Linked DNA regions of Struthio camelus. The protein of the gene in region 3 interacts with the protein of the main gene of each other region in a biochemical or structural test. Links are inferred from orthologs where the notes say so. Each region holds a gene or a part of one and is shown on either strand. Other genes may lie near its edges.

The links.
Region 1: the proteins of CARD11 (region 3) and BCL10 form a complex in vitro, tested with the Homo sapiens proteins (2 studies listed by BioGRID, with this or other methods). The link is inferred for Struthio camelus from reciprocal best matches to the Homo sapiens genes CARD11 and BCL10.
Region 2: of the proteins of CARD11 (region 3) and PRKCQ, one has a biochemical effect on the other in vitro, tested with the Homo sapiens proteins (2 studies listed by BioGRID). The link is inferred for Struthio camelus from reciprocal best matches to the Homo sapiens genes CARD11 and PRKCQ.

Annotation. Positions count from the first base shown.
Region 1 is NC_090949.1:21,330,819-21,338,258, reverse strand, and holds the start of BCL10 (B-cell lymphoma/leukemia 10), read right to left. Parts: upstream 3,236-7,440; 5' UTR 3,158-3,235; coding exon 3,086-3,157; intron 2,840-3,085; exon of another isoform or gene 2,739-2,839; intron 1-2,738. UniProt on the Homo sapiens protein: Plays a key role in both adaptive and innate immune signaling by bridging CARD domain-containing proteins to immune activation.
Region 2 is NC_090942.1:4,823,582-4,831,643, forward strand, and holds the start of PRKCQ (protein kinase C theta type), read right to left. Parts: upstream 3,307-8,062; 5' UTR 3,186-3,306; intron 3,031-3,185; exon of another isoform or gene 2,926-3,030; intron 2,869-2,925; exon of another isoform or gene 2,712-2,868; intron 267-2,711; exon of another isoform or gene 70-266; intron 1-69. UniProt on the Homo sapiens protein: Calcium-independent, phospholipid- and diacylglycerol (DAG)-dependent serine/threonine-protein kinase that mediates non-redundant functions in T-cell receptor (TCR) signaling, including T-cells activation, proliferation, differentiation and survival, by mediating activation of multiple transcription factors such as NF-kappa-B, JUN, NFATC1 and NFATC2.
Region 3 is NC_090956.1:5,763,865-5,771,352, reverse strand, and holds the start of CARD11 (caspase recruitment domain-containing protein 11), read right to left. Parts: upstream 3,385-7,488; 5' UTR 3,120-3,384; coding exon 3,107-3,119; intron 1-3,106. UniProt on the Homo sapiens protein: Adapter protein that plays a key role in adaptive immune response by transducing the activation of NF-kappa-B downstream of T-cell receptor (TCR) and B-cell receptor (BCR) engagement.

The DNA.
Region 1 (7,440 bases), on a different chromosome or scaffold from region 3:
ACGGGCCTTGAGCTCTGGCACTTGTCATGCTTTCTCAGCATGGGCTCCAATGCTCTAAAACTGCAAAACACTACCCCAGCAAAACACTGCAAGCTTTCTGCTGTTCTATCAAGTTGACACCTAGTGATTAGATTCAGTGAAAGTAGCATTTAAAAATTAAAAGATAAAAATGACTTTTTGCTTTATAGCAATTTACTGGCTCAGTAAAAAGAAATGGAGAAAAAGTTGAAAAAAAAAAAAAAAAAGAAAGACACTTTAGGACAGGTTACTACAAGGAGCAAAATACCATCTGGCATATTGTGCTAGAGGTAGCATCAATAGTTCTTAATTAAAGTTAAAACAATAAAATAAAAAATAAAGTAGTCTTCCTGGACTTCCTCATCTACTTCACTAAGCACAGCAGAATAAAAATCTGTTCTTGCAGTCTCCCTCAGGGAATCCAACAAAAACTAAACCATCAATAAACATCCTCTCACACTGGATGTGACGCCACACAGTTGCTAAGGAAAACGTCCAAAGAGCATGGATGGAGGAGAAAGGAAGGCTTTTAGCAGTAGATCATAATCACTAGATTGATTATAACGTAAAATTAAAAATAAGGGCGCAGATCCATGGTAGCTGAAACTAACTTAGGCACAAAGACGCAGTCCCGTCCGCATCACAGCTAGGTTTTCCCACCCTTTCCCTTGCACTGGTGCCTGAGAGGATCCAGTTCAAGAAACTGATCCCACATTCCCCCCACCCCCCGCATCCAGTTTACTGTGCAGTCACATGGGCACTAGTGCTGGCATAACAGAGATGTTAAGAACAGAAAAGGGAAATGGTACAACTTATATCAATTTAAGGTGCTCTGGATTAATCCCAAGCATCCAATCGCAACAAGCCCATGCTTGAATGCCTAGGAACTTTGTGGGCAATACAAATTTATTTCTCATACAAATCTCATCCTACCACCAGCAGGAAGCAGTCAAACTCTGAAACTTGAAAGCAGTCAATAAACTCTGATCGCATGATTAGAGGCAGTCAGCCCTCCTATTCCACACGTGATCTATAACAACACTTTGACTGACATTAATTTGGAACTAAACTTTTATTGCAGCTATGGTTTCACAATGATTAAGCTGGTTCTGCATACTACCCAATAAAGCAGTTGTCTTGTCCATCATCTAATCTAGATGACACACAGACAAACAGCTGAAATAATGTTATGCTCACTCAATGAGTGGCAAGATCATACTAGTGCTGTGCTGACTGTGAGAGGACAGACCAAGGCCTCATTTGGTCTAGAACTCATCATTGCAAGGCTGATCTATCAAAATTACTTGGATAACTTTGAAACAGCTAAGAAACCTTACACTGAACCAGCGCTTTGTATCTATGTAACGTATTTGTATAAAACTAATCATTTTCTACTAAGCATTAAGGTTTCCATCAGGTTCTCCAGTCAGTACAGGAGATCCTATAAGATTAAAGGCTGAATTGACATAGATGCACTTCTATAAAAACAAAAAGGCATGTGTGAATTCAGTCGCTTACACAAATTAACTTACATATCATGTTACATATATCATCTGGCTTAAGAAGTTCCTACCTTGAATGTTTTTAAACTACCAGCTGTTAACTAATGCAGTATTACCCTATGGTTCTATAGAAGCAAGAAATAACTTGAAAAACATGCCTCAAAAAGTTATCACAAAGGAATTAAGGAAAATTTTAATATGCATTAAGCTTTTAAGAAACCAGTCTTCAACAATATCATTATTAGTTCAGTAAAGAATGTTAAGAGACATGTGAGGAGAAAGGAAAAAAAAGTCAAACAAAGAAAGTCTATAGAAGAAGTTTATATGTTTTAAAGGCGCATATGCAACAAAATATAAATCAAATATAAAACATTGTACATTATAAACAGATGCTATGCATGATCAAGCAATAAATGACAAACTGTGGTGAATGTTTAAAATAAATAAATAAATAAGAACCAGTATATGTTCCTTTCAGACTATGTGGTTGGTTAGCGCATTGCTTGTTTTGCAGTCTAGCAAACCGATTTGCAATTCCAGACTGAACCAGGATGGAAGACAGTTTCCCAGAATGAAAATACAGAATTTTATCTCTGCTTAGAATGAAAACTAAAAGAATTTTCTTATTCCTCACATATTTGTATTCTCCCACTCACAGTTTATTGACAAATTGTCTCAAATTTCAGCGACTGGTTGTGATTTTTCACAGAGCACAAGGGTTGCAAGACTGTTGTCTAATAGAAAAAACATACAAAACTCACAGCAAAATAGAGTCCTCATGCCTAAGATACACTGATGTTCCACAGCTGCACACTTAACTCTCTGCAAGCATTTGCAGAAGTAAGTGGCCAAACCTGTCATTTGCCCTCTCTTCCCATAACCACAACGGAGTATCATCAGGACTAAAGAAAACTCCTAATTAGCAATGTTTCTCTTCCTGTTCCTGGGGATTTACAGTCATGAAGCATCACGATTTCAGCAGCTTCTTTCTTTTGATTTTAAGGGTGAAATAATTTTGTCAGGTCCCAAGCATCAGCGAACAAACATGGGAAAACACCAAGAAAACAAAAGAAAAGCCTTTAAAAAAAAATCAAAAAAATGCCAGTATTTAATAGAGAGAGTCACGCTCTACAAGAGCCAGCCTCGGTAATGGCGAGAGCAGCACGTTTACAGGTAACTCCTGGACCCCGCGTTAGTTATTTGTCCCTGCTACCCTACCCCTCACCGCGGCGCACAGGGACCCTCCGCTGCTCTGGCCTCCAAGCACCGCCAAGCAGTCCAGAAAGCCAGAAGAAAACCAAAGCAAGCCGGCCCCGCAGCAGGCTCGGGCACGCCGTCTCCCTCACCGCCGGGCGCTCCGCCGAGGCCCCGGCGGCCCGGCCCGGCCCGGCCCCGCCGCGGCACGTGCCCGGCCGGCGCCCGGCGGGGGCGCGCGCACGCAGCCGGCCGGCGGCCCCGCGGCCGTTGGCGTCTCCCCGCTCTGATGGCGCTTCCGCCGCCCGGGCCGCCCCCCACCGCCGCCGCCCCGGGGGCATCCCAGCCTCCCGGCCCTGCCCACCACTCACTTCCTTCTTCACCTCCGCCATCTCGTCCTCCGTCAGCAGCCGCCCCACGGACCCCGGCCCCAGACCCTCCATAGCGGAAACCCACCGCCACCGCCGCCGCCGGGGAAAACCGGTCGCGACAGCGCTTCCGGCCCCCGCCCCCGCCGGCCCCGCCCCGCCCCGCCCCCCGGCCAATCGCCCCCGCGCAGGGGGCGGGGCTGCCCACCGTGGCCAGGCCCCGCCCACGCGCGTGCGCAGGGGCGCCCAGCCTCGCCCCGCCCCTGCGGGGACTTTGCGGCCGTTGAGGCGGCCCTGGGCTCCGCGCAACGGCTGCCTGCCGTTAGGGGCGGGGGGCGGGGCGGCTGCGGGGGGCTGTGCTTCGCTGCCGCCCGCTCCGCGCAGGGCCTTGACCTACGGGGGCGGCGGTGGGCGGCCGCGGGGTGTGGTGCAAGGCGGCGGCGGCGGCGGCCGCCGCGAGTGGCTGTCTTTAAGGATTCCCGCGGTTCTGGAAACAAGCCAAGGTGGAGGCCGCGCCCCGCCGGCGAGCGGCGGCCCCCGAGGGCTCGAGTCGGGTCGCCGGCCGCAGGCACGCTGATGCTGTGATTTGACTAGTTGTCCGTCGGCGTGTGAGGCGACTCAGAAGCTGGGCAGTATCTGAGAAATAGGCATCTCGTTCTTGACAGGGCAACAATTAATTGATAGCACCCACCATACCCCTCCGAAGGCTTGGTATCCTCATGCTCTTATTTTAGCATTTAGGTATTTCCAGTGCGCTACACTCGTGACAAGAGGGAACGATTTTTCAGTCATTACGTAGTGAGCTCCCAGGAAAATCAGAGCGTGCGTCTGGAAAGGAGGGCTGGGGGAGACAGCAAGTTGCTTGGGAGGCTGCATGTCATCCAAGTCTTGGATTACATGAGAAAATAAGAGAGGTCGAGGTGGAAGAGTGGTCATAGTTACGGAATAAAACTGGGCAACAATGGCAAGAGACAGTGAGAGAGAGCATGGAAAATTAAATGAGAGGCGATTCGATTAGAAAATACCTTTGAAGAGGGAAGAAAATATTTTCTGAAAAGAAAATAATTCGTAGAAGAAGCATAAAAGGAAGCACGGGTACTGACAAGAGCATAGAAGTAGGAAGAAATGGGAAAGCAAAGCAAGAAATGTTGAGAGAGACATAAGAAATAATTTTCATTTGTTGGGAAAAAAAAATCTCTAATGATTAATTAGCTTCTAACAAAATAACTGAAGGACGCTTCTGCTTTGGGTGCTAGACGTTACGTACATACCAGCAGGTACAGTAGAGCTTTAAATGCAAAGATTGGGAGCGGCTGCTGCTCGTTTAGCCAGAAAGAAAGAAAGTCGTCGCTAGAGGGTGCCAGGACGCCACGGGGAGGCCGCGGCGGCGCCGCTCCGCGCCCGCGGGGCTGCTCCGCCCTCGCCGCGGCGGCTCCCAGCGACGGGGCGGCGGCGGCGCCGCAGCCGAGCGCTTAAAGCCCGCCCAGGGCGAAGCCTGAGGAGTAAACGATCTCTCAGCTTGTCGAAAGCAAAACAAAGGCTATCGCTGAGGTCTTAAAACTGGTAGTTAAACATTAACACGTATAAGGAGGAGAAACAATCAGTAGTAGCTCTTGCTGTTATTAAGGGAAAACTGGTTTTGCAAACGTCTTGCAAAAGTCCTTTTCCAGGGTATGCCTTTTTAGTGGGATCATACTTCAGATATTAACTGTCACGGTACCTATTTCACAGTGCTTGCTTTTCCAACTTTTCAGCAGACACTAAAGTGCCCTGCCCAGGACACTTCAGTCACCATTGTTAACCTGGAGACAATGCTGATTTCCGTTGACTTGGCTGTTAAAACCACAGCCAGGCTGCAAAGTGGCTATCAGAAACCATCACCAAGCTCCGCTCCCTGCTGCTGCTGCAAAGGACATGTCTACCCGTGGAAGGGCCTCGCCACCGGCCGCCCCCTCGCTGCCCGCTGGCAGCCCTGCCTGGTCGCAGCCTGGCACCAACCCCTGCTACAGCCCCAGTCTTGCAGCGTTGTTACGTGCACCCAGGAACCCTTTTTTTGCTCTAGCACATTTGAGGATCCCAAAGCTGTCTTGTGTATTTGAGGATTAAACATCTCAAATATGATGTAAACAAATATTTACTTTGTATTTCCTTTCCAGTGAGCTGAAGGGCATGGCGGTACTTTTCAAGTCCCAGTGCCTAAATTGATACTCCTTAATCTGTGTTAGGCACCCAACTACGTGGCCGGGTTTCAGCGCCTCTGAAGTGTCCAGCGAGCTCATCGTGGCCAGCTGACGCCTTTGGGACAGAGCCAGGCATGTCCCCAGCTCCTGACTCCCATTCATGTTCATTAACCCCAGTGACTTCCAGCTCCTCCTCGTCAAGGTGAATGCTGGTGCAGATTTTGCTGGCTCCGTATAATACTTTTGATAAAAATAGCTACCGCACATTCTGGATTTAGAATATTTAAAAATAACCTTGCCCAGTGACCGAGGTGCAGTTCAAAGCCATGTGATGTCTGGAGAGCTAGACTCCTGGATTCCTGAGCCGTGTATGAGACAAACTGCAAGGAATGAACTTCAGGAATCAGAGAAAAGGGCATCTGGTAGCGAATACAAGAATAGACTGCATTTTAGCAGGTTTACTGCCAGTAACTCCTGACAGGAATTAATGGTCCAGGCAGCTGGAAGACGACTACTGTCAGTGTGAAATTCATTTCAGGAGGTCAGGATCAGTTCAGTTTCAAGAAGGGAGTCTTAGGAGTGCATTACAGAGAATTTCTTTCAAGGGAGCTGGGAAGATTTTGGACACTGCCTTGGTTATATGAGCACGTATACATGTAATCACCACCCCGACTATGCTTGTGAAATTTCAGATACTGCTTACAAACGAGCGCTGCTCAAGGACACGTCTTCCACCCTATCGATCCCAGAAAACGTCATAACGCTGTCGCAGCTGGTGAGAAGCGGTCAGTGGACCTTTCTGTATTGTGACCAGCTCCAGGCTTTCTCCCCACCTTGGTGCTCAGGACCAGCCGTGTTCCCCCCTCCCCCCCCCCAATCCTGTCCTGCAGGGGTGTGGTGCCAGCTCTGGCCCTTCGCCCCCTTCTCATGCGCAGGTCAGGGTGGCCCTGGGACAAGCCCTTGCTCAAGCCACAGCCCCTGCCTGGCACCTGCGGGAGGTTATGACTGATGCTTTTTGGCAGACTGCATTTACAGTGGAGCGTGAACTTGTATACCCAGCACAGAAAGTTTGTGCTGGCTACAGTAATAGTCTACAGCTGAATTTCTCAACGGGCACTTCTTTTTAAATGATTTTCATGCTTTTGCATGTTTCTATATTCTTTGAGCGGAGCTTCTTAATGTGGCAAATGGGAATATTTTTCTGTAGCTTTTGTGTTATTTTTAATTCCTGTCACTTAGAAACAAATTTAAGTAAATTGCTATCAACTCTCCCCTGTAGATGTGGTTATACAACGATGCTTATATATGGTGCTGGTTATAATATTAAGTAATTGCACCAAGCTAAATGTATCCACATTAGAGGTTGTACAGTCTGGACGTGATACAATTCTTTTGCTACAGTACAGTAGTTGGATTTTCTTAAATACAAAGTTGAAGTGACAATACTGAGGCCTTGACTAATTAAAACTTCGATTGCCACAAGGTGGCACTGAACACCTATGAGCACTTACATGGTCCACGCAGCCCAGAGTAACTGCATTGTCTCCCGCTGTGATTAATTCTCAAATCATAGTCTACCCATGTTAGAGCACAGTGGTACAGGCAGAGACCAGCCATATACGCTACTTATAGCACACAAGGACGATTTAAATATAAAACATGCAGCCATCTGCCCTGTTATCCACTGTGTGATGTCCATAATGTAGTCAACTCTCTAGACATCTCAGATGAAGAGGAGATGACACAGGAGCTTTGTGAAGAAATTCAGCCCAGTGGTCGTGCCACTAAACCTTTGCAGTTTCACCTTGTGTAACCTGCACTAAATACAGTGGACTACGGAGAAAATATTATACTACAATAACATGTAGTTACCTTGGACAGTAACAAAATAAAATCACAGCCATCGTATCTAGAACACTATGGCAATGCCTCTTCTATAGACATTATCTTAAATGTAAGCCCAAAATCATGATTTGTTTTTGAAGAGCCAAGATTTCTTTTAAAAGGTTTAAAGGTTTTAGCACAAGTGTCTATTGTCGGCTTTATTTCTAGGCATGTTATAAGCTTCACAATAAAAAAAAAAAACAGCATGAAACAATACAAAATCAAATACACGTGCTTTTGGTTTCAAAATAAGAGGCAAAACTACACAGTCCACAGTACAACTGACACTTTATT
Region 2 (8,062 bases), on a different chromosome or scaffold from region 3:
ATCAAAACTTATAGGCACTGGATCACCTTCTTCAGAAAAATCAAAATGGAAGGGTACACAAAGACAAACCTGGAAAGGATCCCAAGGAGGAAAAGCAAAAATTTGTCATGCTGCGAAATTAAAGTGTGAATTAAATGCTTCCTTCCATCCCTCCTTCCTTGTCTCTCTCTCTAATCCTGTCCTCTGAGGCCCTCCACTTTGGATGCAATAGTGAGGCAGCCGGTGCATTTGTGAGAAGCTCTGAGAGTCGACTGAGTGACTTTCTTTGAAAGGAAGCTCACTTGAAGTAGAAAAAAAAAAAGTTAGCTCCACCCTGGCGGTGTAATAGGTCCTTGTTCATAGCTCCCTTTGCTATGAACCTGCTGTGTGTTGGTGGCAGTGTGGTTCCTTTCCTCTACTGTATCTCACAGGCTTCAGAGGGACAGAGAAGTTCTCCAAGTCCCTCTGTGAACAGGATGGGCTGCAAAGGGTGTCAGATAGGAGAAGCCTCGTCTAGCCTGAAAACAGGATGGCTACCTCCTCACCAAAACCCCCAGTGTCCTAAAGCAGAAAGATCGGCAAGTTCTCCAGAAAGACATCTGGCACTGCAGGCTTGGAGTGTAATTTTGAAAAATTGGTGTGTATTTCTTGGGGGGGAGGGGGAAGAAAGAAAGAAAATTTTTGCCCTGATTACAAAAACGGCCTGGGTAGAAAGGGGATGCTGAGATGGAAGATGGAGGTTCAGGAGGAATGTGAATCCTTGAAATGACTTTACAAAATCCTAATGGACATCTAGAAGTGGGGCTCAGAAAGGCTAGCCAAAATGTCATGGGGGGAACTCTGGAGGAAATGGAGAGGTTTAGCATCACTCAGGGAGCTCCGGGAGAGTGAAGGCTGCTGGATGTTGAAGTTTCATGTCCAGCCTAGGCACCATCAAAAGAGACCATGGCAACTACCCTCACTGGGATCCAGGTTCAACACCGGTGTCAGGTGTTCAACAAAAGGCCGCTCACCAGGCCTGTGGCCTGTAAAAAAGAGGCTATATCTCAGGAGGCCATCTGCTACCACCAGCTGAACAGAGCCTTGCTGCACCACAACAAGTTGAGGCAGGAACCTCCTCAGAGCAGGTGCTCTTTGCTCATCCTTCGGCTGGGCTCCTAAAGCACATTCCCCAGAAACCAGAAAATGGCACATCAGTGGGGATGTGGAGTCCTTTCTTCAGAGAGCAAAAAAACCAAGCAAATAAATAAAAAAACAAAGCATAGGTCCAGGACCCCATGGAACCGGCTGTTCAAAAAAGTGAAGACCAGAATATGGCACTGCTGCTCATTGCAAACAGCTCTGTTTTTCTCTCCCCCTTCGCCTTTTTTTTTTTTTAATAGCAAGTTCAGTGAAACTTTATCTCTTCCTGCCCTAGTGACCTTACTAAATAATCTGCTATTAGCATGACTCAATTGAGTGGCTTTCAGCTGCTCAAGTCATTTTCTTTGCCACTGCCATTTCACTGGTGGAAATTAAAAAGCACATGAGGAGCTTTCTGCCCCTGCAAAGAGCTGCACTAGTCTGTGTGACTGGAGAAACACACAGCTGAGAAGTTGGTTGCATTGTAATCACTATTTAAAGAGTTCATTAAAAAGGAACTGATTACACCCGAGAGTTTAACTTCATTAGCATTTAACATGCACGCAACACAAATGAAGTCTCAAGGCTGAACGGCCAGGCTGGGTTTTCAAGTCTCCTCCTTCAAAAGGAAATGCCGCTCACAACACTACACAGCGGAGGAGGGATGGAGACAATTCATTTCTCTTTACCACTCAAATGAGCTTTCAAACTTATCACAGTGCTAGTTTGTAAAATATTACAAATTGGACCCGAAAATGATTTACCCAGCTAATGAGCTACAACATCCACCCGAAAACTAAACTTCAACCTGGCTGTCTTACTGCATACTGCTGTAACCAAGAAACACCTAAAATACATCAAAGAAACTAGCAGGGGAAAGTATTTCCCTCTTTTTTTTTCCAATTTATTTACTGTGTGTGTTCAATAACATTCTGGCTGTAGTAGGTTTTCACTGTTTTTCTCAGTCATTTTCCCCTCTTTGTATTGCATGAAGACACAAGGGAGAAAACAACACTTTTTAGAGGCAGGAAAATGTGATTATGAAACCACAAACACTTGCAAAAGACATCAGGTGTATGAACCTGAAAGTAATATAAACTGTTATTTAAGAAAAAAAAAAAAAACAACCAAAAAAACCTTCTGGCTGTATTTCAAGTTGATGATGGCTCTTCAGTTCAGTAACAGAATGAGAAACGATAGCTGAAGCAGGGTAAAATAGCAGCGTCCCGGGTAAAATGAGACATCGACAATCCCAAAGAGTTCCCCAAATTTTTTCTCTCTCTCTCCTTGTGCCTTCAGCCAAGCTGCTGGGTGGTGGAGAGGTGGTTTCTGGGCACCCAGGACGTTAGGCACCCCGAGGCTGCCTCCCTCTTCCCTGCCCAGGGTGTACGCACAGCACATCGCCTTCGTGCACCCAAGGGTCTCACCCCCGACACCTCCGCAGTGGGACAGCTGGTCCGGTCCGGCCCGGTCGCGCACCCACCGCACCGCTCCGCACCGCTCCGCTCCGCACCGCCGGCGGCACCTGCTGCCCGCTCGGCTCGGTGCAGCCCAGCGCGGCTCGGTGCAGCCCAGCGCGGCTCTGCTCAGCCCGGTTCAGCGCGGCTCACCTCGGCTCGGCTCGGTTCAGCTCAGCTCAGCGCAGCTCGCCTGGGCGCAACCCAGCTCAGCCCCCGTCAGCTCGGCTCGGCTCGGCTGAGTCCGGCTCGGCTCCTTTGCAGCGCTGCCGGTCGCAGCCGCCCCCGCCCCGCCGCCTGCCACCCCCGGGGCTGCCCTCGCCGCCTCTTCCTCCTCCTTCTCCTCCTTCTCCTCCTCCTCCTCTTCCTCCGCGCCACCTGGACCGGCGCCCCGCTGGGCCCCCTCCGCTCCCGCCCCCTACCCGGGGCATCCCAAGGGCCCGATCCCTGGGTGGGAAGTGCTGGCGGCCGGGTAAGTACCGTGGTGCAGCCTCGCAAGGAGCCCAGCGTCGGGGCTGGGTGTGCACAACCCCATTTTGCGGAGGAGAAAGCCGTGGTACAAAAGAAATGATCACTAATAATAATAATAATAATAATAATAATAATAATAATAATAATAAGGACAACCTGAGTTTGCTGGGGCTGCAGAGCCTTGTCCTTGTGGCTAGCTAGCGAGGTCTGCTGAGGGGTGTGGAGGGGAAGTCAAGTGGGCTGTGTCTTTCCTCATTAATCTGTCCCATCATGTCATGTGCTTGGCCATCGAGTCTTCAAAACATCTCTCTTCCAGGTGGGCCCTGCCTTGAACTAGGTTTTTAATCTGAAACAAGGCCAGGCTGAGCTGCTTGGTACACCCCTTTCAGGGCTTGAGGGTGTCAAAAGTGGGTTTTGCCCAGGACCTCCCCAAGGACACGCTCTCTGCTCCACCATTCCCATGGCCTCCTCCCATGCTGCAAGATTAGGTGTAATGCCGGGAGGACAGGCAAGTCTAGAGGGGAAAACTGGCCTGGGAACCTGGAAGATGAGTGATTAGAAGGAAAAGAAACTCCAGAAATGTAGGAGCTGAAGGGTTTTGGAGCAGTCCAACAGGACTCCTCCTGGCCATCAGGAAGGATGTGCTGCAGAAGCATGGCCACATGACCAACCCTGTAACAATAATGGGCTATGCTGTCGATAGCTGTCAAATGGGATACATATCCCGGAGACCTGCAGATGTCCGTCATGCTTCTGACAGCAGGAAAGACATACCTATAGAAGACGTGGGGCCACATTCAGGTACTTTCTGTGGATCCTAACACTCTTAGGCAACTGTCAAAGTATCTCAGATGCTTGTTCCCTAAAAAGTCAATGGAGAAAGGATCTGGGATGTAGATTGTGCCACTTTGTTGCTTTGCTGGGGATAATTCTTACCATTAAAGATGCAGGTCTGCATGCCGCCATGCAGACCTGTAAAAAAAAAGATACTTTTTTTTTTTGAAATCTTCAAAATTAATCATTTAGGAATTTTCGGAGCTCTAAGTGCTCACTTTGAGTAAGCTGGAATGTTTATTTGAATGCTGTTGTAGAAAGGCAAGATGTGATTGTTTTGCCCTTGCTGCTGATTCCTAAAACATCAACTACCCAATTATCAAAAGGGAAGGGAAGAGGAAGGGAAGGAAAGTGAAAAGGAAGGACTGCTGGGCTTTTGGAAATTTGGGGAAAATGTATTGCTTTCAAAGAGCAGTTCCCTTCTATTTGCTGGAACACTCTGAGCAACGTATAATATATATCCTTGTTATCAGCAGGAAAAAAAAGGCATTTCATGAGGAAGGTGATCTTTCATTTTAATTGCTGATATGCCATTAAATTATGTATCTATCCTTCCTGCCTGCATTAGAGTGCATTATATTGGGGGGGGGGTGTTGATACTGCAGGCATAAAAGGTTCTTCAACATCAACTGAAGGTGAGCAGCAGATAATTAAAATCCCATGTAACCCTGGAATTTGCCTGAATCTTTAAGGAAAATTGCTGACAAAACTGCCCCTTCTTAAGTTTGCAGCTCCATCAGTTGCTGGTGCTGTTACTACAATTTTCAGGAGTGTCCTGGTATTGCAGATACGCCCTTGCCTTCAGAAGCAGCTGGGAAGGCAGAGCCGGCAGATCAGCTTCCCGCTCCTACAGGCATCTGCAGAAAAGGAAGGGCAGGAGGCACTTCCACTTGCTCAAAAAGTGACCCTAAAGGGAACTTGAGGTGATGGAGACATCAGTGGGCTAGGAGTGGGAGAGGTAGCAGACCTCTGCAGACCCAAGCTGGGTGTTTTGAAACAAAAATCTCTGAACTTTCTTTTTAGTTGTGTGATACAGTAACGTGGTGGGAAGAAGACTGTAGTGTCAGCCTGCACTTAGACCGGATGCGTGCCAGCCTGGGGCATTGCAGCGGCACATTCCCAACTGTGATGCAGCCCCGTGGTCTTCTGCCTGTTCCTGGACCCCTTTGGTGTTGCACCCATAAATGCACCAGATCCCTAGTTGGGGACAGAGCAGCTAGTTACATGAGGATCACTCTGTTTATAGGAGATTTTGCAGGCCTGCAAATGGTTAGGCTCAGGGTTAAGTTCTGGCTATCACAGAACAGTGCTTTAGGCCACCTAGCTCTAAACTCAGGGCAGAAGAAGGCTTCAGCTTGCGACCTCTCCTGGCAAAGCAATTTTTCTGAGTAATGACAAGATCGCAAAGCTGGAAAGGTGCCTCGGTAGGTCACCTCATCCATCTCCCTGCCCCAAGAAAGAATCAACACAAACCCTTTCTAAGGGGGCGTTTGCTCAACTTGTCCCTCCAAGCAAGCAATGGAGACTCCACGCCTGCCCCAGGCAGCTCGTTCCAGAGCTGCTGGAAAGCGTTTCCTTTATGTGTAATCGAAACCTTCCTTGCTGTTATTTAAGCCTCCTTCTTCTCATCCTATCCACCAGGGAAATGAAGAACAGATTTTTCCCTTCTCTTTTCGCAGCAGCTTTTTGCGTTTTTAAAAATGACAGCGCCGTAGTCTGGGAGGCAGCTGCCATATTAATTACCCAGCTGACACAGAGCTTCCACTGAAACATGCATCAACTGCTGTGTATTATTATTGTCATTTAATTTGACTTGTACGACTAATCAGGCATTGCCTTCTACAACAGACGAGGCCACTCCTGTGGGTGTAGGTATTTGGAAACCAAAAGCCCTTAAAGCTGCATCTTTCTGGTGGAAAATATCACCACAAGCCATCGTGTTTTCTTTCCTGTATTTGAAAACCACCCACATTTTCAGTAAAAAAAAAAAAAAAAAAAAATTAAACTGATTGAGCATTTTGCCCAGGCAATGGGCCTTTTTGAATGGTTTCATTCTCAAAATATTTGCCACTGCTGTTTGGTTTTTAAGGATGATTACTTACAAGTTCTTTGTTAATTTATAGAAGATACCAAGGAAAAAATAACCAGGGGACACATTTAATAACAGCTGTGAAGGATGGTCAGAAATTCCTCTTTACTTTAAATTCATTCAAACTCAGTTAATGAGGTATTGAGTTCAAGCACTTGAAAAAAAAAAAAAGAAGGAAATATAGCAGGCTAGGCCATTTCCAGTCTTAAAATAACACTAGAATTGGGCTTTTTTTTTCTTTTTCTCCCTGAAGGTTTCCACTTCTGCTCAACTAAGTGTGTGCTGCATGTTAGGGCGACGTTTACGTTTCGATCTCTTCTAGCAGTCATAAGAAATAGGCTGGGAAAGAACCTGAGAGGTCACCGCATTCGTTCTCCTAGGAGGCAGGTCCGACGCGCCCCAGGCTGGTCCTGTCAGATGTCTGTCCACCCCGCTGTTATACGGATGCAGCTCGGGAGCTCCCTGGCCTCCTGAGAAGAGGACAGGAAATGCAGTGAGCAAATCAAACTTGCAAAACACTCTCTGACGATGCACGTTTCTCAGACGCTTCGCCAGAAAGGGTGCGTAACTATGGGAGAATCTACAGGGTACCGTTTGCTTTTACTGGCTTGAACCTGCACTAAACTAGAGATCTTTATTATTTCTTTCCAACTGGAAAGAGGAATATTATTACTGGAGTTGCTGCAGCGCTACCCAAGAGTTGTTCGTCTCCTGCCACCCGTATGACCACCCGAACATACGGCACAAATCATAGTCCCAAGCTCGTAAAGTTTGCTCAGCAGTGATTTTGTGAAGCTTTTTCTCAGTCTCCATTCGGTTATCTGGGGCTTGATCCTGCAGTATGTCAGTAGCCATGAGATGATGACGTTTGAAATAATCGATTTAAACAGATGCTTAACCATGCAATTCAGGGCACAGGCCCACAGAGGCAGAGCCAATTCCTGCCTTCATCTGCTCATTCCCACGTTCCACCTCCCTCCTGGGCTTGTCCTGTCTCCTCACCCGAGGTTGCATCTTCCTTGCTTTGCTGACTCAGCCTCTCATGTCATCGCGCTCTAAATCAGAGCAGCAAAACGGTCTGAATTTAAGAAAAACAAGTAAACCAAAACTGAAAAAAAAGAAGGGCTGCCCCTTGCCTGTAGCTGGGATCATTTTTGTAGGACATGGCCATGTGAAGAGCTGAGTGGGCTCAGCGGTGGTGGGGAGGAGGTGGGTTGTGGTGGATGGAATGGGTTGAATGAAACCTTTCCACCCAGCTCAGTAACTAAGAGATTCGTGATGTGGAACTGCATGGTCCAGCAAGCAGGAGAGCTGCAGGAGAGGTGTGGTGCTTTGAGGCTGCTAGAAAAAATACCAGGTCATTTGTGAACAGAAGCCGCTCTCTTCTCGCAGAGAATAGTGTCCCCATTGCTTGTACTAGAGCGATACTCGTTCACGTGTTTCAGCATAAAGATACCATCGCTGGTGAAGAGTCTCCCCAAAATGGAGATCATTGAACGCCAATACCCCGAACACGTCCTGATTTTTTGTCTTTCCCTGGGTGTTTGCTGTTCACCGCTCTTGGATACAAGCTACCAGGTTCTGGGGTTGTTGGGCTATTGGTGCACGTTTTCTGCCACACTTAGCTGCTTTATGTCTTTTTAATTAATTTAATGGGGAAATTTGAAGCAAAAAGAACAGTAATCGTCTTTGCAATCACATTGGGCTCTTTTTGTAAATGTATTTATGTATCCTCTGTATTTACTGTCTTCCTAGTTAAAAGAGCTTTAGGTTAAATTCAGTCTGGATTAGCAGAACTCACTGTCCTGGGGAGTAATGGAGGTCTAGAGCTGAGCAGGATTTCAAGCGTATTCACATTTATCTTTATAACCTGCACTAGCATTCAACACAGAAATTTGCACTCCTCTAGAGAGCACTCTAAGGACAAGATTACTAGGAGGCTGGTCAATCTTCTGCTGCCACTGTGCTAACGATACAGGGCTTTTTGTATTGAAGATGAGAGGTGCTTTTGTTTTAGGCCTGGAAGTCCGGATTTTGAGCCTTGCTGCTGACAGCTAGCTCCATGATGTCCTCCCATAGCTGATATCTATACCAAGATATATATAATATA
Region 3 (7,488 bases):
ACTACACTTAAGGGGAATATTCAGATTTCATGGCACATCCATTTCTATACCAATGAGAAAGTTGAGCAATCTGCTAAAAAGTGGGTAGTTTGTTCTTTTTCAGTAATATAGACATAATATTGGGAGAAACAGAGATCTCTAATTATTCATCGTCTGTTAGCAAAGGCAATCATGCCATATAACTGATTAAAAATTTGTCCAAGCACCAGTACAAACTAGGTCATTTGGTATATTACAGACATCCTCCGTATTACAGCATTACATCATTCAGATTTCTTCCACATATTCACAGTTATTTGGGTTACATCCTTCTAGAGAAGGTTCAAATTGCTTCTAATTTTAACAGAGGCACATGCAGCCAGACCATTCTCTTCTCATGAATGTTGAAAGTTTATTTTTCTCTTAATTCAGAGCTAAATCTATTTGGAAGGAACTCTCTGCATATGAACAGGGAGTTAACATGAGGTTCTGAATCTCTTTTCTGGGGGAGCACCTCCCAGTACAGGAATTTGCTTGGTAGGATGGAAGGTGTTCATGTTCTTTCTAGCTGAAATCTCTCTCTAGACCCAAGGTACTAGAGTGAAAAGAATTTATCTCTGGCTCCTTGTCCCCTTGCAACTGCCACAACCCAGCTTCAACAATTTTTAACTCAACCTGTGGCAAATTACGAGGATGGAGAAAAAAAAAAAAAAAAGAGTGAGAGAGAAAAAGAGAGGGAAGTTGTCTCAGCCAGTTTGTTTTTGGGACATACCAAGGCATCAGAACAGGGACAGTTCTGGGGGCACAGAATACTGTAAAAACAAAGCACAAGATCATCATACAAGTTTTGCAGAATGACTAAAAGAAACACAAGAACTTTTCATATCACAGGATGAGTTGTAACAGAGTAGGAAAGAGTCATATTAGATCTGTATGAATAAAATGAACATCTCTTTTATTTTGTCATTCTAGGTTTGTGGACTTTTCACAAGATCCAGAAGACAAAGATATTATGATGTAGCTGCTTCTGCATTCAGAAGAGAATGTTCATAGCTCAAAGGCCACAGTTTGATAGCTCTGAATCAGAAAGGATATATTATAATTGCAAACATAAAATTTAGGCTTCTTTCACCCATAAGGAGATGAACAATTTTTAAGAAGATGGATGGGGTAGATTGTTAACAGAATTCGCCTACATAATAATTCTCTTATTAATTCGACTGAGTTTAATAAGTGATCCTTATTCAGTCCTCAAAAGCCCACATCAGAACATTCTTAGAAATAAATCTTCAGTCCCAATAGTCCTGCTTCAGAATGTGAGGCAAAAAGGCTTCATCAAAGAAACTTATTTCTTTGCTGTATCTGGTTCAAAGCTTACAAACTTAAACAGGCAATAATACCAGCTATTGTTCTTGGATGCAATTTTTAGCCATGTTTGATCTTTGAGACTCACTAATATATCTAGTATAGAAGAAATGAGCTGTTTCCAGATCCTAGGAGCAAAGTTACTCCCACCATAGTATTACTGTAGAGAACCTCTACCTCTGAGATTTGAAACTCCAAGGGAGTTTCAAATCAGCAGGACAAAAACTACCTCAGTGTCAGAGCAGAAGTTCGGCATTGGGGCAGGCAGACTGCGGCTTTATTTAGGCTAGTAAAATGGCTTATAATCACTTAGAAGAAAGTATCTCCTCTAGAACCATTTTTACAATTTTCAAAAAACATTTTGGATTGTGCTCTCCCATTTCTCTATCCACACTCACTCCCACTCTTATGCTCTTACTCTGCTGCAGCTTGCATATTCTGCGAAGGAAAGAGAAGCTGAAAGACTGCAACACTTCCTCCAGTTCCCCTGCAGGTACTCAGGGGGGATGCTAAGACAGCAGAGACTAAGACCAGTGGCTCCTTCCAATATGAAGTCAACATCAAGACAAAAAGAGATGGAGAAACCTGCTGAAAGATTGGGGTAAGGACTTAAGGAGGAGCGAGATGACAGAAAGAGGAGCGATAGAAAGAACTATGTCAGAGATGGCTGTATTTATAAGTAGAAAGGAAGCTATGGTGTGTTAGAGGTGTTAGAAAATTCTGTTCATGAGACAGAAAGAAACAGAGTCAGAACGACAGGGGTTATTTGTTGTGAATGACCAGATATGAGTGTGAGAATTGGAAGGAAGCTGTGCAAGTATAAGAGTCTGGTATTTTGGGATGGGAACTTGTTTAGCAAATCCTGCATGCGTACAAGAGAGAAAGGGTAGACAGGAAAGCAGCATGTGTGTGCAAGGACAATTCAGCAGAGAGACAACACCACTGTGTGTGCAAAATTAACTTTGCGGGGCAGCAATGTACGCTGTGTGCACGAGAAAGGAGATGGGGCAGGAAGTAGTGCGTGTGAGAAGCCAGAGGAGCAATGGGAAAGGGGAACACAAGACAGAGAAGAAGGAAATGACAGGGTGGAAGGAGAGAAAGATTAAGAACATGGGGCAGGATGTACAGTCTATTGCACAGGCAAAAAAGAGGAGGGGGAGGGAAGGCAAAGAAAGGGGCAAGAGGAACATTTGTTATACAGAATTATGCTTGATGAAAAATAGACATAAAAAGATGGTGGAAAAGTCAGTAAGAGATACATCAGGGTTGAGAGAAGACTAAAGGAAGTGAGAAGAACAAATTCAAAGAGAAAAAAAAAACAAAGGAGAAAGATTTTGTTATTTGATAGAAAGCATAAATGCCCAGTGAAGAGATTTAAAGTAAAGGTAGAGCACAACATACCATGGGTAGAAACAGAAATTCCCTAGAGGCCACTGCTCACAATTAGTCCTTTCATCTCCCCTCTCCAGACCTCCATTTCCATTCTCCTTCCCAGTGCACACTTTATTTGCAAACATATGTGCACCTTCAGCTACAGCCTGTTTGCTTCACTGAACCCCGCGCTCTAAATATTTGTGCGTGCAAGGTACAATTAGACCTGTTGAGTGCAAGGAAGGAGCTAACATAACCATTCTCAAAGAAACGTGCTCTTGAAAATGAACACAAAAAAAGTGAAAGGTGAAAGGGGAACCGGTATGATTAGAATCAGGTGCTATCCTAACCAGCAGTAAGGTGGAGCTGATTTGATAGCTGCTTTCCTTACCTTGGGTGCTCATGAGTGACCGGGGCTGCCTTGCTGCAGCTGCTGCAGGCTGAAACTCCCTACGTCGCCTCCATGCAATTGTCACTGTCTCTCTCCAGCAGTCCTGGAGAGGTTATCTGTGCTCTGAAGCTGTTGAAAAGTAAAGGAAATACAAAAAGCAAGACACTCCCTTTGCCTCTGAAGTGCCAAAAGTTTAGGAAGAATCAGGAATAAAGGATGCAAGCGCCCCGGTGTCAGAATGAGCAAAGAGCGACACAGAAAGTAAGAAAAAGTGTGTCAGAGCCTGGGAGGGGCGGGGAAGGAAAATGCAAAGATCTGACAGGAAACCAGACTATAAATCTGCTTAAGGTTTAAAAAAAACACATTTCTGCTCCCCAGCGATACAGCCTGTTTGCAAATGACTCTGCTTGCAGGTGATAGCAGAGCCCTGAAGTACCACCGCAAGAAAATAAATAGGCGCTTCTGCCCCTTCCCCAGAAAGAGCAGAGGGCAAAGTCAGCAGCAGCACAAGCACAAAAAACTGGCTCAGAGAGAAAAAAGAGGTTATGTCCTTGCCCTTACTTCTAGTTCCTCAGGCTTTTAGAGTATGTTTCCCTCAGGCACAAAGGGACATGTTGAATGCCAGCTTTAGGGCCGCTATGCTGCTCGCAAAGCAGCAGCCCTTGCTTCTCATTGCACATGCTGGCTGGAGAGAGGGCAAGAAGAAAGAAAGAAAGGACCGTGCTCTGAACAGGAGACAGTTTCAAGAACAGCAGTTTCAGGCAGAAGGGGTTTTGGGGTTTCCCAAGGTTTCAAAGACTTTTTGAGGAAACATGTATTTGATTAACAGCTGCTGTTGTTGTTGAAAGGGAAGTCAACAAGATTTACTTCATATAAATATTATTTTACAGTTGCATGATACTTTAAACAATGTACTTTACAAAGGGGGTGGACTCCTCATTGGCATAAATAAGCTGCAGTATCTTGGACTCTAAGATCTGGTATAGCTTTAATGCTGGACTCTGGCCTCCAGGCCACACACTGGTAGGTCTCACTGAGGACATTTACCTGCTAGGTCACAAATAAGAGCTTCCCACCACGGGCAAGCCAGTGGGAGCAAAGTAAACCAGTCCTTTCCCTTACTGTTTCCTAGTCGTGCTGGATCAGTATTTACCACCACCACTAGCAACCTTTAATGCTGCTGCCATCTTGCACAGGGATCCTCGGCCCAAATCTCTCATGATGCACCTGCCACACTTGCTGGTTCTTCTTCTGCTATTGCCTGTTCACCCTCAAGAGGAAAACAAAGCACAGATACTGCTCTTCTCCCAGTTACTCCCTAGGTTTTGCCCTTCACACTGAGTGGACTGAGGTGAGGCTTCAAGTGAAGCCTCGCCAGAGTCAATAATAGGTCCTGAATGTGTGAGAAGTCAGAAGAACCCTTGAGGAGTCACATGTGCATCCACAGGGATGTGTGCATGTGAGGCTGACTCTCTGTGGTTGGAAGAAAGCAGCCATGTATGCACATGTATATACACACGTATACACACACATGTATGTGTACTTATCTCATATGGAAAACTACTAGAGAAGAAAATGCATAAAGACTAGGAATGATAAGCATACTTGAGAAATGATTCAAAGAACTGAGGAATGTGAGAAGGGAAGAGGCACGATGATGGTAATGGAGTGAGAGAAAAAGAAAGTTAAAAATAGTTGCTAGAGAACAAAGGAAAACACAACGAATGGAAAGTAAGTATAAAAGAACAGTGGAAACACTATCAAAACATACAGCAGCATCAAAGAAAATAATGGAGGAAGTGAGATGATAGTGAAAAGAAGAAATGTCAGGGAGAAAATACATGGCTCAAAGTGTTATTACAGAAACACTTAAAAGTGTTCTTACTGAACTGAAAGCTTGAATCCCATGAAGGCTGGGAGAAGGCAGAATATATCTACTAGGGGAGCAAAATGTGTGAGGAATCCCAGCTCTAATTTTCCCTTATGGTCCCTCTGATTTCCTGTGTTTGCACCTGTTCTTGGATTGATAAGGGACCTAAGGATGCTCTAAGGATGACACTGAAAAGGATTCTGAAGGGCATTCTGTTTCTCTAAATCAAGAGCTCAAAAACTAAGGAAGGCAGGAATTTCTCTCTCCTAGTCTCTGCTGGGCAATAGGAGAACCTGTTATCCCCTTTCTGGGTTTTTTTTTCCCCCCCTAATCAGGACTACACTGTTATGTGCTACTTATATTCTTGTGCAACTCTATCAGAATTCACCTGTGAACAAACCTGTGCACTGCATGTGATAAGGGCAAGGAAAGCTTCCTGCTTTGAGCAGCCAGAAATTTATCCATGTGACAACTACATGGATGAGGATCTGCAGTTTTTGACACAGGACCAGCGCAACTGGGGAAAAACCATACCTTGCAGAAAAACAGTGAAATACTGATATAAGAATTGTGGCCTACAATTATTTCATCAAAAGTGATATAAGTTATTTCTTATCCCAGCTTTCTACTGCTTTCATAGAGGAAGCTGATTTGTGCATGCAACTGAGGAACCATTCGCAGCACAACCGGAGCAATTAGCTCTGCTGACAGGAGGCTTTGTAGCTTCACTTCCATTTAAAAACCACAGATCTTCCACGCACAGACCAAGCTACAGTTCCTAATCTGAAAGGAAGAATGTGCTAGAAATTCAAGTCAAAACTCACCAAGTCCCTGTTTTAGGTTTTCCCTTCTGTCCTTGAGTTCTTCAGCAAATGGGAAAATATCAGCCAGTAGACTATAAAACTGCCCTCCAGAGTCAAGCAAGGAATTAGGTAGTAGCTGTTGCTCTTTCTGCTTTTGTTCTGCTTAATGCTGTAGATTATAAACAGCTTTCAAAAGGTACAATACCTGTTCTAAAGATCACAGATTTCCCTGGGCCCAGAGTGAAGCCTTAGAGACAAAGCAATTATCCAATGAGGCTTGAACAACCTTTCACTGAAACTCAAAAGACCTAAAACTGTCCTACTCCTAAAGACTTCCCTGGTAAACTGAGATTATCCAGTTGTGACCCAGTCATCAGTCAAAAAGTTACACATAACTCAGTTTCTATCTTTTTTATAAGAATTTATAATCTTAATGCTAGGTTTCAGTTTTTAAAAACTCTCTCAAGACATAAAAATGTTATGATTTAGGTTATAGTTCCTTGAAGCTGGTAGACTGAGGTGATGTGTTTCACACATCAGTAGATACATCAAAAGTGAAGAAAACAATTATGTTCTGTCAGGCAACCAGAAAATTCAAGAAAATCCAGATGATCCACCTAAAATACAAGAATATGGCAAATTGCTGCAGAATTTGAATCAGTCGGTTTCCTGATGCAAATGTGGGGGCTAGGACCTTGTCTGGTAGAGCTACATATCTTTCAGAGAGCAGCAACAAGAAACAATCCAGAAATAGATATATTAAGAGTTGAAAACTGGGAATACATCTAAAACGAGCACTAGAAACATGATATTGAGAAAAAGAACAGAAAGAGCTTTGCTGAACTGTCTGGCTGAAAAAAAAATACTAGAAGTATGATTAAACTGTCTTTTGTTATTTTACTCCCATTCAATTCTGGGAAGCAGGAAATTTTTCTTTTTTTGTAAGTAAGCAGAATTGCCTCAAAGAGATACCTGGCTCCGTCGTCTATTTCTTTGTGTAACTAAAATCCACCAGAACTTTTAATTCAGCTGGCTGCCCAGGTTAAGGGGTACCAATATACTTTTTTCGTACAGTTTCTCAGTCTCCTTTCTATATGCATGGTGCAGGAAACAATAAATTGAACCTCTGCCTGCAAGGGAACTACCCCTCACATGGAAATTCAACTGGTGGGACACATGTGGTATATTTGCTGTCACTGTCTTTCAAAGAGACTTCAGGAAAGGAGAGCATTTTTAGTTTCTTCCAATTGCTCTAATTGTTCTAATTCTGCATGATCTGAGCCTTGATGGTAAAACTTGAATAACAAGTGTACTGTAAGCCTTTTTATGCTGCTGTACACTGCTGTACCTTTCCATCCTCCAGGCTTTTACTTTGAAATCCTTGCATAAAAAGCCCGCACAATTTCAAGATTACATTATGCATTCTATTAGAGTGATGAAACTGCAGAGAAGACTTATCATCTTAGAAGTTCCTTTACAATGTTGCTGGCCTCTTAAGTATTTTGCTCCTAGCTACTTCCAGACCATAACGTTGTTATGTTATATCTATAGCGAAAGATTCTCCTTCTGACTGTGCCATAGGCATTACATTAAATGTGTTTATCCAGTAGAAGATGTTCCATGTACACCATGACTGCCTGTAGAACATCTTTCAGCAAAGGTGGTTGATCGGAATGGTAGGCCATAACTCAGAAATGAAACTGCTAGAT